Macaca fascicularis: one gene and its partners. The main gene of each other region encodes a partner of the protein of the gene in region 2 in a complex. Links are inferred from orthologs where the notes say so. Each region holds a gene or a part of one and is shown on either strand. Other genes may lie near its edges. The genes, in order: NCAPH2, NCAPD3 and NCAPG2.

Region 1 (3,643 bases), on a different chromosome or scaffold from region 2:
ATCGCTGGAGGCCAGGAGTTTGAGACCAGCCTGGGCAACAGAGAGAGACCCTGTCTCTACAAAAACTTTTTTTTTTTTTTTTGAGACGGAGTCTCGCTCAAAGCCGCCATACCGGCCTGTTTTGTTTTGTTTTGTTTTGTTTTGTTTTAGTGTCATTTGCTGAGAAGGAATACCAACGAGCCACAGCGTTGGGGAAGATCTTGGGTTAAGTATGGAAGTAAAGTGTTTGGGGACATTTGAATGTACCCGCCCAGGCTGGAGTGCAGTGGCACGATCTCCGCTTACTGCAAGCTCTGCCTCTTGGGTTCACGCCATTCTCCTCCCTCAGCCTCCCGGGTAGCTGGGACTACCCTGGCTAATTTTTTGTATTTTTAGTAGAGACAGGGTTTCACCGTGTTAGGATGGTCTCCATCTCCTGACCTCGTGATCTGCCCGCCTCAGCCTTCCAAAGTGCTGGGATTACAGGCCTGAGCCACTGTGCCCTGCCTTTTTTTTTTTTTTTTTTTTTTTTTTTTAGATGGAGTCTTGCTCTGTTGCTCAGGCTGGAGTGCAGTGGTGCGATCTCGGCTCACTGCAAGCTCTGCCTCTGGGGTTCACGCCATTCTCCTGCCTCAGCCTCTCGAGTAGCTGGGACTACAGGCGCCTGCCACCACGCCCGGCTAATTTTTTGTATTTTTAGTAGAGATGGGGTTTCACCGTGTTAGCCAGGATGGTCTCGATCTCGTGACCTCATGATCCGCCTGCCTTAGCCTCCTAAAGTACTGGGATTACAGGCTTGAGCCACCGCGCCTGGCCTTTTGTTTTTTCTAAGTGTCGTTTGCTGAGAAGGAATACAGATGAGCCAGCGTTGGGGAGGATCTTGGGTTAAGTATGGAAGTGAAGTGTTTGGGGACATTTGAATGTACTCTGCAGCCAGCTGTGAATGCAGCCCCAGAGTTGAGGAGAGAGCTGGTCAGGATGGGTTTGGGGCTCGTTGGCTCATGGTTGGCAGCTTGGGCATGGGATGAAGGAATGTGCATGGCGGGGGCTGCATGGGAAGAAGAGAGGCTGAGGATGGAATGCCTGGGACACTGACATTTAAGGGGTGACAGGAGCTGGGGCTCCGGGAGGCTGAGGGGGGCAGAGGAAGGATGATGACTAATCCGTAACTGTTTCCTGAGTTCTCTGCCCAAAGGATGGAAACCTCCGCATTTTGTCTCTGCTTTTCCTACCCCTGAGGTTTCCTTTTCTTCTCTGTGTCAGGGGTCTTCCTGCTGGAGCCTGTCAGCTTATGGCGCCTTGTGGAGGCGGCGCCTTGTGGAGTGAGCCGCTGTGCTGCCCTGGTTGTTTGCAGACAGTGTGCCCTGGGGGCCTTCCACTTCCAAAACAGGTTTTTGTTATAGGAAGTAGGAGGAAACACGGAGACCTGTCTATCCACCCAAATACCAGGGACAACCGGGGAGCCCATAGCAGAGCTCGCGCTACCCGTCTCAGGAGGTGCTGGGCAGAGACCAGTGATGGGTGGGGCTGCCCTGGAAGCAGCAAGTGCAGACTGGGCCTTGGATTCCCCCGCCCTTGTGTTGTTTCTTGCAGCTGGATCAGATCTGCATTTCTTTTGACGAAGGCAAGACCACAATGAACTTCATTGAGGCAGCGTTGTTGATCCAGGGCTCTGCCTGCGTCTACAGTAAGAAGGTGGGCCCTGCTTGACGCTGGTCTTGGCATTTCGGTGGCCAGTGGGACCGCAGTCAGTTCTTCTGGGGCAGGCGCAGTGGTCATCCCGTCTGTGACCTACCTCCCTCTCTCCTCAGGTCTCAGCCACTTCCTCGGCACCTTCCAACACCAAGAACTTTTTAATTTTAAATCGCACAACCAGGCAGGGAGGGTCTTGTGTGCTGTTGGGCTCTGTTGTCTTGGGGGAATGACACCTGCTGTGTGCACTTGGGCACAGTCCAGGGTGCCCCATGCACCCACCTTACCCTTCCCCATCCTCTACTTGTGGGTGCTTCATTGTCAGCACCTCGAAAATCCGCAGCCACTACCCTCATGGTTCTGCGGAGGAGGAGGACAGGAAGTGGGTGAAGGACTGTGTCCTGCAGGCCCCGTGGCGGCTGGAGCTGGGACGGGGCAGGGCCAGGACATGAGGAGGAGGAACTAGGGTGATGCTGGCAGGAGCACATGGGCGGAGGAGCAGCAGGACTACAGGCCATTGGCAGAGTGGGTGCCAAGCACGAGGGGCCTGGCCACCAAGGGCTGTGTGAGGCATACTGTGGGCACCACACTGCCGTCAAGGTCACCCGTTGAGAAGGCCATGCTTGGCGGCTGCGTGGAACATAGCAGGCAGGAGAGAGATGTGGGTGGCCTCAGCTGGTAAAGTAATTCTCATGAGATTCGTGGTTTGATTTGAGAATTATTTTTGGAACAAAAATTGGTGGTTTCTTGTACTGGAGGTTTGGTGGTAGTGGCCAGGCCTCGTGGAGGGCACCGCTGGGAAGGCCTTGGGGGTGGGCCCCTCCTTTCTGGGTCCTCACTGCCTGCGTCTGGTCACCAGGTGGAATACCTCTACTCGCTCGTCTACCAGGCCCTTGATTTCATCTCTGGAAAGAGGTGAGTTCCGGAGCCACTCACTGTGCTGCCCTGCATGTGGCCAGGGAGGCCCCCGCAGCTTCTGGGATGCCCATGGGATACTTTTCTCTCTCAGGCGGGCCAAGCAGCTCTCTTCGGTGCAGGAGGACAGGGCCAATGGGGATGCCAGCTCTGGGGCCCCCCAGGAGGCAGAGAATGAGGTGAGTTTCTTGGGCACGTGGCCCCCGCCCACTGTGTGTTTGCCTGGGCTCGGCCCCCATGAGCTCTGTCTCCCTCCAGTTCCTGTCGCTGGATGACTTCCCTGACTCCCGGACTAACGTGGATCTCAAGAACGATCAGGCGCCCAGCGTGAGTCCTGGCCTGGCCCCTCTTAGGTTGGGGCGAGCTCAGCACTTTCCCTGGGGCTGTGTTGAGCTGATCGGGTGTGGGAAGGTGTCGCTGCCCTGTGTGGGCTCTGTTCTCCACTGGAGTGGAAGGATGCCTGGCTCACCCAGCCTCGGCCTCCATGCAGGAGGTCCTCATCCTCCCCCTCCTGCCCATGGCCCTGGTGGCCCCTGATGAAGTGGAGAAGAACAACAGTCCCCTGTACAGGTAGGGTCTGAGCCCGGCGGCGGCGAGGGAGGAGGGAGGCCTGCCTGGGAAGGGTCTCTACAGCGGGCGTGTTCTCGCCGGCACAGCCGTCAGGGTGAGGTCCTGGCCAGCCGGAAGGATTTCAGGATGAACACGTGCGTTCCCCACCCCAGAGGGGCTTTCATGTTGGAGCCAGAGGGCATGTCCCCCGTGGAGCCAGCAGGCGCTTCCATGCCAAGGACCCAGAAGGGTGAGGGCTTGGATGCGGGGGCTTGGTGGGAAGGAAGGGAGGGAGGGTCTTCTGGGTGGACTCTTGTGGGGTGCCCTGTGCTTGCCACCTCTGGTCTTGGGAGCTCCCTCTCTCTGGGTGCCCGCTCCAGTCTAGACAGGTTGGCTGGTGCTCATCCCACCCGTCTGCTGTGCCTTGATTACAAGTTAACATGGTCTCAGTGCCAGGGACCTGGTGCCTGGCTCAGGGCCCTGCTGTGTTCCCCCAGCCCAAGGCCTG
Region 2 (3,643 bases):
ATATGGTGTCCCAAAAGTGTTAGTGTAGTTTTAAACTGTAATTTCTGAAGTTTATATGCTACAAACTTAACCAAAAATTCTTTTGAAAGTTTAATTATTTAAATATGTTATGTACATATTTATCTTTGTAATTTTGGATAATATATTTTTAATTTTGATATTTTGTTTCAGTCCCTTTGAAGATGGTAAACATTTAGCAATAGGAACCAGGCTAGTCTATTCCTCTTTTTGTAAGGCACCAAGAACTTACAAAAATCAAATAATTGATGTTTCCATTTCTCTGATGACTGGCTTTTGTGATTTGCCCTCTCCCCACAGAGTGTCTGGACCTTCTTCATTGAGAACAATGTTTCCCATAGTACACTGGTGGCATTGTTCTATCATTTTGTTCAAATAGTTCATAAGACAAATGTCAGTGTACAGTATCGAGAATATGGCCTTCACGCTGCTGGGCTTTACTTTTTGCTGCTAGAAGTACCAGGTATGTAGACCTGATATGATAGGATAAATCTTCTGTCACTTTTTTCTTTCTACATTTTTCAATTCTTATACTTTGTTTCTTGTTTCTTCACTTATAAACGGGGCAGTGCTAACCCATGGCAGAGAGTTGTTCTGAGGAGCAAGTCTGTAAAGTACATGGCATGTTGTAGGTCTTTGAAAACCTTCCCTTTTTTTTTTACATCCAAAATTATGCTATCTATAAACGAATAAAAATAATCTGAGGACCGCGAGAGCTCCACGCCCGCCCTCCGCCGTTGCCCTCCGCCATCGCCGTCTGAGGAGCACCGCAAGAGCTCCGCGCCCGCCCCCCACCCATCGCTGTCTGAGGACGACCCCGAGAGCTCCACGCCCTCCCCCCGCCATCGCCGTCTGAGGAGTACCGTGAGAGCTCCGCGGCCGCCCCCCCCAGCCCATCGCCGTCTGAGGAGCACCGCAAGAGCTCCGCGCCCGCCCCCCACCCATCGCTGTCTGAGGACGACCCCGAGAGCTCCGCGCCCTCCCCCCGCCATCGCCATCTGAGGAGCACCGCGAGAGCTCCGCGCCCGCCCCCCGCCATCGCTGTCTGAGGACGACCCCGAGAGCTCCACGCCCTCCCCCCGCCATCGCCGTCTGAGGAGCACCGCGAGAGCTCCGCGCCCGCCCCCCGCCATCGCCGTCTGAGGAGTACCGCGAGAGCTCCACGGCTGCCCCCCCACCCCGCGCCCATCGCCGTCTGAGGAGCACCGCGAGAGCTCCACGGCCGCCCCCCGCCATCGCCGTCTGAGGAGCACCGCGAGAGCTCCGCGCACTCCCCCCCGCCATCGCCATGTGAGGAGGACCGCGAGAGCTCCGCGCACTCCCCCCCGCCATCGCCGTCTGAGGAGCACCGCGAGAGCTCCGCGCCCGCCCCCCGCCATCGCCGTCTGAGGAGCACCGCGAGAGCTCCGCGCACTCTCCCCCGCCATCGCCGTCTGAGGAGCACCGCGAGAGCTCCGCGCACTCCCCCCCGCCATCGCCGTCTGAGGAGGACCGCGAGAGTTCCGCGCACTCCCCCCCGCCATCGCCATGTGAGGAGCACCGCGAGAGCTCCACGGCCGCCCCCCGCCATCGCCGTCTGAGGAGCACCGCGAGAGTTCCGCGCACTCCCCCCCGCCATCGCCATGTGAGGAGGACCGCGAGAGCTCCGCGCCTGCCCCCCGCCCCCCGCCCGTCGCCGTCTGAGGAGGACCCCGAGAGCTCCGCGCACTCCCCCCCGCCATCGCTGTCTGAGGAGCACCGCGAGAGCTCCGTGCCCACCCCCCGCCATCGCCGTCTGAGGAGCACCGCGAGAGCTCCGCGCCCGCCTCCCCCACGCCATCGCCGTCTGAGGAGCACCGCGAGAGCTCCGTGCCCGCCCTCCCCCCCGCCATCGCTGTTTGAGGAGCACCGCTAGAGCTCCGTGCCTGCCTTCCCCCCGCCATCGCCGTCTGAGGAGGACCGCGAGAGCTCCGTGCCTGCCCTCCGCCATAGCCGTCTGAGGAGCACCGCGAGAGCTCCGCGCCCGCCCTCTGCCATCGCCGTCTACAGTTCTAATACTGCCCTTTCTCCTCATGATTCCTTGTCTAGACTGAGAAATAACTGCTGTGAGGAGTCATTGTTTTTACCTCTCCGATGTTGGTGTTGAAAAATAGGTTAAAACCATTCTAATCAAGAAAGCAGGAAAGCAGCTAGTAATACGTGAAGGAGGGCACTGACCAGGAGTCTGTGTTCGAGCACTGTTTTACTTTATTGTCAGAGCACTGAGGAGGCCTTTCCTCCTGTGACGGTGAAATCCATTCTCTTCCCTACTCCAAACCCAAGGTGAGAGACAGTGGAACGTAGAGATTGAGTTCAGTAACCCAGAGTTCATATGGAAAAGAAAATGACAAGATCACTCACCTTGCTGCTTCTCTTTGTTTATATTAGCATTTGTAATTAATGCTCAGGGTGTATTCCATATGATCTGGGAGTGGGCAAAAAGGTATTATATTTAAAGCCTTGAACATTGGTTTGTGTTATTGTTAATGCTCCCATAATGACTTTGGAAATAAGTAAGTTCCTAAAGGATTTTGTTGCTAAGCAGTGTCTCAGTTGTAACCAGGCCCTTTCTCAAAAAAGTAGTGGTTTTAGAAACCCATTTCACTCTCATCTTGCCAGATGCAGTTTCTTCTGATTAAGATTGAGATTTATGCCAGAGCAAAGAGGTGGCTGTTACTAATTGTGTGGGCCACTTGCAGCTTTCCAGCAAGCCGTATTCTTGCAGTTCTGTTTTTAAATGTTTTGGGTTTATGATTGAGATGCTGTCAATACTTAATATTCGATCACGGTATATTTTTCTTTTTCAAGATCATTTTGGTTGTTCTGCCTCCCTTGCATTTCCATGTGAATTTTAGGATCTGCATGTGAATTTTTGCAACAACAAAAAAGCCAGCTGCGGTTTTGACAGGGATTGCATTGAAACTGTAGATGAGTTTGTGAAGTATTACCAATTTAACAACGTTAGGTCTTCTAATCTCTGGCTGTAGGATGTCTTTCCATTTATTGTCGATCTTCTTTAATTTGTTTCAATAATGCTCTCTAATTTTCGGGGCGCAACTCTTGCATCTCCTCTTTAAAATTTATTCTTAAGTATTATTTTCAGTGCTAGTGTAAATGAAATTGTTCCCTTAATTTTATTTTGGATTGTTTTATTAGTAGTGTATAGAAGCAAAATTGATTTTGATTATCTTGTATCCTAGAACCTTGCGAAACTCATCTGTTGATTCCAACAGGGTTTTCTTTGTGTAAGATCACGTCATCCGTGAATAGACACAGGTTTACTTCTTTCTTTCTAGTCTGGGTTCTTTCTATTTACTTTTCTTACTTATTTGCCCTGGCTAGAACCGCCAGTACAATGTTGAATAGAAGGGGAGCTTGGGGATCCTTGTCTATTCCTGATCTTAAGGGGAAAGCATCCAGTCTTGCCTTTAGATATGATGTTATCTGTGGGTTTCTCAGGATGGCCTTTGTTAAGTTATTATTCCTGTTTTACTGAGTGTTTCATTATGAAAGGCTGTTGGATTTTGTCATTTGCTTTTCTGCACTTGTGAAGTGATCATGTGGTTTTTGTTTCTTATTCTAATATAGTATATTACATTGATTGATT
Region 3 (3,743 bases), on a different chromosome or scaffold from region 2:
CCAGTAAACCACTCTTCTCCCTGCTATAATTTTATATTGCTTGTTGAAACGATATTCCAACAAGTAATATAAATATTTTTGATACACTAGCCTAAATAAAACATATTTAAAAATCAATGTCACCTATTTATTTTTTTCTAATGTGGTCACTAGAAATTTACAATTGCACTGTGGCTCCCATGATGTTCCTACTGGGTGGTGCTGTGCTCCCACAGTGCAACGACTTCAATCTCGCCGAGACCTCTGGTTTGAGTTCAGCCAGGAAAACAGATACCACTCTAGACATCTCAAGCATGAAAGAACATAGCACCAGGGAAGGCCAAAACCTCACGAAGGGATGCAGAGCTCGGTGGTAAAGAGCACCATTTTCTAAGAATTTGCTTTCAACAAAAATTGGGAACGCCCAATGAAGTTATTCGCTGACACAAATTAAAAGAGATTGATAGATCAGTATGTGCCTTTGGCATTTAAGTCCAAAGAATTAAACGACATTGCTACTCCTCCTTCACACGGGTGCCTTCGAGGGTCCCCGCTAAGGCCTCTCCCTCTCCACCCTATGGGCAGCCTACCTGCCGGGGGTGGGGGGGTAGGAGTTCTGCGGGGGAAGCACCTGCCCAGGGCGCACCTACTGGGTGCAGGCCGGACAGGTGACCCCTTGGCAGGGAGGGCGGTCACGGTAGCCGGCCAGGCCGGGGTGGGGTCCTCCCGGGGATCCAGACACGGCCCTGTGGCCTCTCCCCGCCCCAAACCTTTCCTTCCTCTCCCCGTCTCTCCCTTCCTCTCCTTCCTCCTTCCCCCAACACCGCCCGCTCCCAGCGCCCCGCCCTCTCCTGGACCGCGCACTCCCTCCGCGGAGGCCCCAGGACGCGCACAAGCTCGCAGTGGACGTCGGCGCGCGCACCGTGCATGGGTTCCCCAGCTGTGGCGCCGCGCGTGCGCGTTCCGTGGTGCCCGGTAGGGCACTGGGCTAAGCGCCCAAGAGGCGGGGCATAGACAGGAGGAAGACCGGCGGGCATGTGGGCGGGGCATGATCTGGAGGCGGGGCGGAGCGGGCGTGTGGGTAGGGCCCGAGGATCGCGGCGCCCCAGCTCTCGCGAGAGCGGCGCTGGGTGACGACCGGGAGGGCGGGGCCCGTCTGGGGCGCCGGCGGGTGCGTTTGAATCTGGTCCGAGCGCGGGAAACGGCGGGTCCCCGAGCCCAGGTGAGAGCTGCGGTGCGGAGCCGGGATTGGGTTCAGAGCAGAGGCTGGGAGGTAGCAGGGATCGGGCGGAAGCCCCTCCTCGGCTGGTCGGGGTCCCGGCCTCCACTTCCCTAAGTGGGCTGCCGACCAGCGCGCGGGCAGTGCTGCGTCTGACGGGACCGGACGGAAGAGGCGACCCCGGGCCATCCCCCCTTCCCAGCTCAGCGACGCCCGTCCTTCCTGTCCGTGTCGGAGGAAAATCCCAGCCCCGGGCGCGGGCACTGCCCTCAGAGAGAGTCCCCTCAGCCTCAGGCGCGGGCACGCCCTCAGAGAACGAACCCCCAGCCCTGAGCATGGGCACTGCCCTCAGAGAGTGTCCCCTCCGTCCTGGGCATGGGCAGTGCCCTCAGAGAGTGTCCCCTCCGTCCTGGGCATGGGCACTGCCCTCAGAGAGGGTCCCCTCAGCCCCGGGTGCGGGCACTGTCCTCAGAGAGCGACCCCCCAGCCCTGAGCATGGGTACTGCCCTCAGAGAGTGTCCCCTCCGTCCTGGGCATGGACACTACCCTCAGAGAGAGTCCCCCTCAGTCCTGGGTGTCGGTACTGCCCTCAGAGAGAGTCCCCTCAGCCCCGGGCGCGGGCACGCTCTCAGAGAGTGACCCGCCAGCCCTGAGCATGGGCACTGCCCTCAGAGAGCGACCCCCCAGCCCTGAGCATTGGCACTGCCCTCAAGAGAGTGTCCCCTCAGTCCTGGGCCTAGGCACTGCCCTCAGAGAGTGAGCCTCTCCGTCCTGGGCGTGGACACTGCCCTCAGAGTGTCCCTTCATTCCTGGGCCTGGGCGCTGCCCTCAGAGAGTAAATCCCCTCAGTCCTGGGCCTGGGCACTGCCCTCAGAGAGCCACCCCCTCCGTCCTGGGCATGGACACTGCCCTCAGTGTCCCCTCAGTCCTGGGCCTGGGCACTGCCCTCAGAGAGTAAATCCCCTCAGTCCTGGGCCTGGGCACTGCCCTCAGAGAGCCACCCCCTCAGTCCTGGGCATGGGCAGTGCCCTCAGCGACCCCCTCAGTCCTGGGCATGGGCACTGCCCTCAGACAGTGTCCCCTTAGAGAGAGTCTCCCTGAGCCCTGGATGTAGGCACTTCCCTCAGAGAGTATCTCCCCAGCCATGGACATGGGCATTGTCCTCAGAGACATCAGTCTCCTGAACTCTTGTTGCTGGTTTGGTGCCTCTTGTTGTGTCAATGAGGAAGGAGTTTGGGGACAGAGTGGAAAGTCACGGGTAGTGACAAGGTTACAGGGATTTCTTCTTTTTAATGCTCATCTTGATTCAGTACCGGACCTTCTGTGCGAAGAGTAGCCTGCTCTTTGGACTGATAACTGGGTGGTGAGATGACTCCTTACCTTGAAAGTAGCATTCTGGCTGCAGGGCTGAGATCTTATGCACATATACTACAAGAAACATGGAATATTGCCACTTTGGGAGATAGATTGAAAAATTAACCATTAAAAAATTACAGTCACTAATATAAGAGGGAAAATGGGAAATACAGGAATAAGTTTGGTAGTCTGGAGGAAGTATATTACTGTAGGTTGGACTACAATGCCAAAGAGGTACACCTGGAAATAGAGCAAACAAGAAAAGTGACCAGAACTATGAAAAAGTGGAGAGTTCACAGACTTGCCAGGTGAAGATGTATGATTCCATGTGTTTGCTGCACCTTATTGGATTATTTTTCTAAAATCATGAATTTGTCCTAGCCACTATTCGTTATGCTTGTTGCTGGCCACTCTCCCTTCCCTCCCCCATTTTCTTTGTCAGTAAAATGTATGCGAGTCATGCTTCATTTAAAGAGGGAGAAACGTTGTGGTTAGGCAAGTTCATCATTGAATGAACATCACAGAGTGAACTTGCCTACACCTAGAGGGTGTAGCCTACTGCTGCTAGAATGTTACTGTACTGTAGGCAACTGTAACAATGGTAAGTATTTGCATCGCTAAACATATCTAAGTATAGAAAAGGCACAGTAAAAATATGGCATTATAATCTTATGGGACCACAGTCATATATGTGGTCTGTTGTTGACTGAAATGTTATGTGGTCCATGACTGTGGTTCATAGTTCAGCCATTTGAGTTGAGGAATGAGATGACCAGACTTCACTGTTAACTTATTTGGGGAGTCATTAAACTGAGGTTATTTTCTGCTTTGTTCGATTTAGACATTAAAATCTAGTATTATATGTTTAAGATAACTCTCTATCCCCATAATTATTGGCAGTAATTTTCCATATTGCTCTATTTATAATGGTGCAGGTGGTTTTCATTTATTTTTAAAGTCAGGGGACTCCTACTGCAAATATGTTCCATCATTTGCTATTACCTCATCTTTAGGTTGATGTCTTTTTAGTAGGGCACCAATAGCACCAGGTGTTGTGAATGTGAAATAGAATTTCCTGGAAAAACACAGACAGGATAGAAGGTGTACAAAGTCCCCTGAGCTCTCATTATCCCGAAGGGGTGGGAGGAGAGTGCTGTGGTTACGCATTTCTAAAGGATAGTCTAACAAG

Evidence for each region.
Region 1: the proteins of NCAPD3 (region 2) and NCAPH2 are in contact, whole or in part, in a cryo-EM structure (PDB 9F5W), measured with the Homo sapiens proteins. The link is inferred for Macaca fascicularis from reciprocal best matches to the Homo sapiens genes NCAPD3 and NCAPH2. Residues at the interface, in NP_056076.1 of Homo sapiens: Arg589, Pro591, Met629, Glu680, Arg683, Tyr684, His690, Lys724, Glu793, Asp800, Gln803, Arg804, Arg807, Gln817, Leu820, Gln865, Leu866, Cys867, Pro868, Ala869, Arg870, Val871, Val918, Ile925, Lys929, Leu932, Gln933, His934, Ala956, Asn960; in NP_689512.2 of Homo sapiens: Trp22, Ser68, Lys69, Glu72, Tyr75, Tyr79, Leu82, Asp83, Ser86, Ile144, Ile145, Pro146, Leu147, Leu148, Met150, Ala151, Leu152, Val153, Asp156, Glu159, Asn161, Asn162, Asn163, Pro164, Leu165, Tyr166, Ser167, Arg168, Gly170, Leu173.
Region 3: the proteins of NCAPD3 (region 2) and NCAPG2 are in contact, whole or in part, in a cryo-EM structure (PDB 9F5W), measured with the Homo sapiens proteins. The link is inferred for Macaca fascicularis from reciprocal best matches to the Homo sapiens genes NCAPD3 and NCAPG2. Residues at the interface, in NP_056076.1 of Homo sapiens: Glu1213, Lys1216, Ile1217, Pro1218, Leu1220, Gln1247, Ser1250, Glu1251, Tyr1254, Lys1258; in NP_001268861.1 of Homo sapiens: Phe291, Lys332, Pro333, Ile334, Trp336, Lys340, Ala341, Arg342, Arg347.

What each region holds. Positions count from the first base shown.
Region 1 is NC_088384.1:1,047,154-1,050,796, reverse strand, and holds part of NCAPH2 (condensin-2 complex subunit H2), read left to right. Parts: intron 1-1,242; coding exon 1,243-1,369; exon of another isoform or gene 1,370-1,476; intron 1,477-1,572; coding exon 1,573-1,674; intron 1,675-2,530; coding exon 2,531-2,586; intron 2,587-2,680; coding exon 2,681-2,765; intron 2,766-2,844; coding exon 2,845-2,913; intron 2,914-3,076; coding exon 3,077-3,156; intron 3,157-3,242; coding exon 3,243-3,385; intron 3,386-3,643. UniProt on the Homo sapiens protein: Regulatory subunit of the condensin-2 complex, a complex that seems to provide chromosomes with an additional level of organization and rigidity and in establishing mitotic chromosome architecture.
Region 2 is NC_088388.1:132,609,231-132,612,873, reverse strand, and holds part of NCAPD3 (condensin-2 complex subunit D3), read left to right. Parts: intron 1-318; coding exon 319-481; intron 482-2,207; exon of another isoform or gene 2,208-2,319; intron 2,320-3,643.
Region 3 is NC_088377.1:199,966,835-199,970,577, reverse strand, and holds the start of NCAPG2 (condensin-2 complex subunit G2), read left to right. Parts: upstream 1-1,095; 5' UTR 1,096-1,201; intron 1,202-3,743. UniProt on the Homo sapiens protein: Regulatory subunit of the condensin-2 complex, a complex which establishes mitotic chromosome architecture and is involved in physical rigidity of the chromatid axis.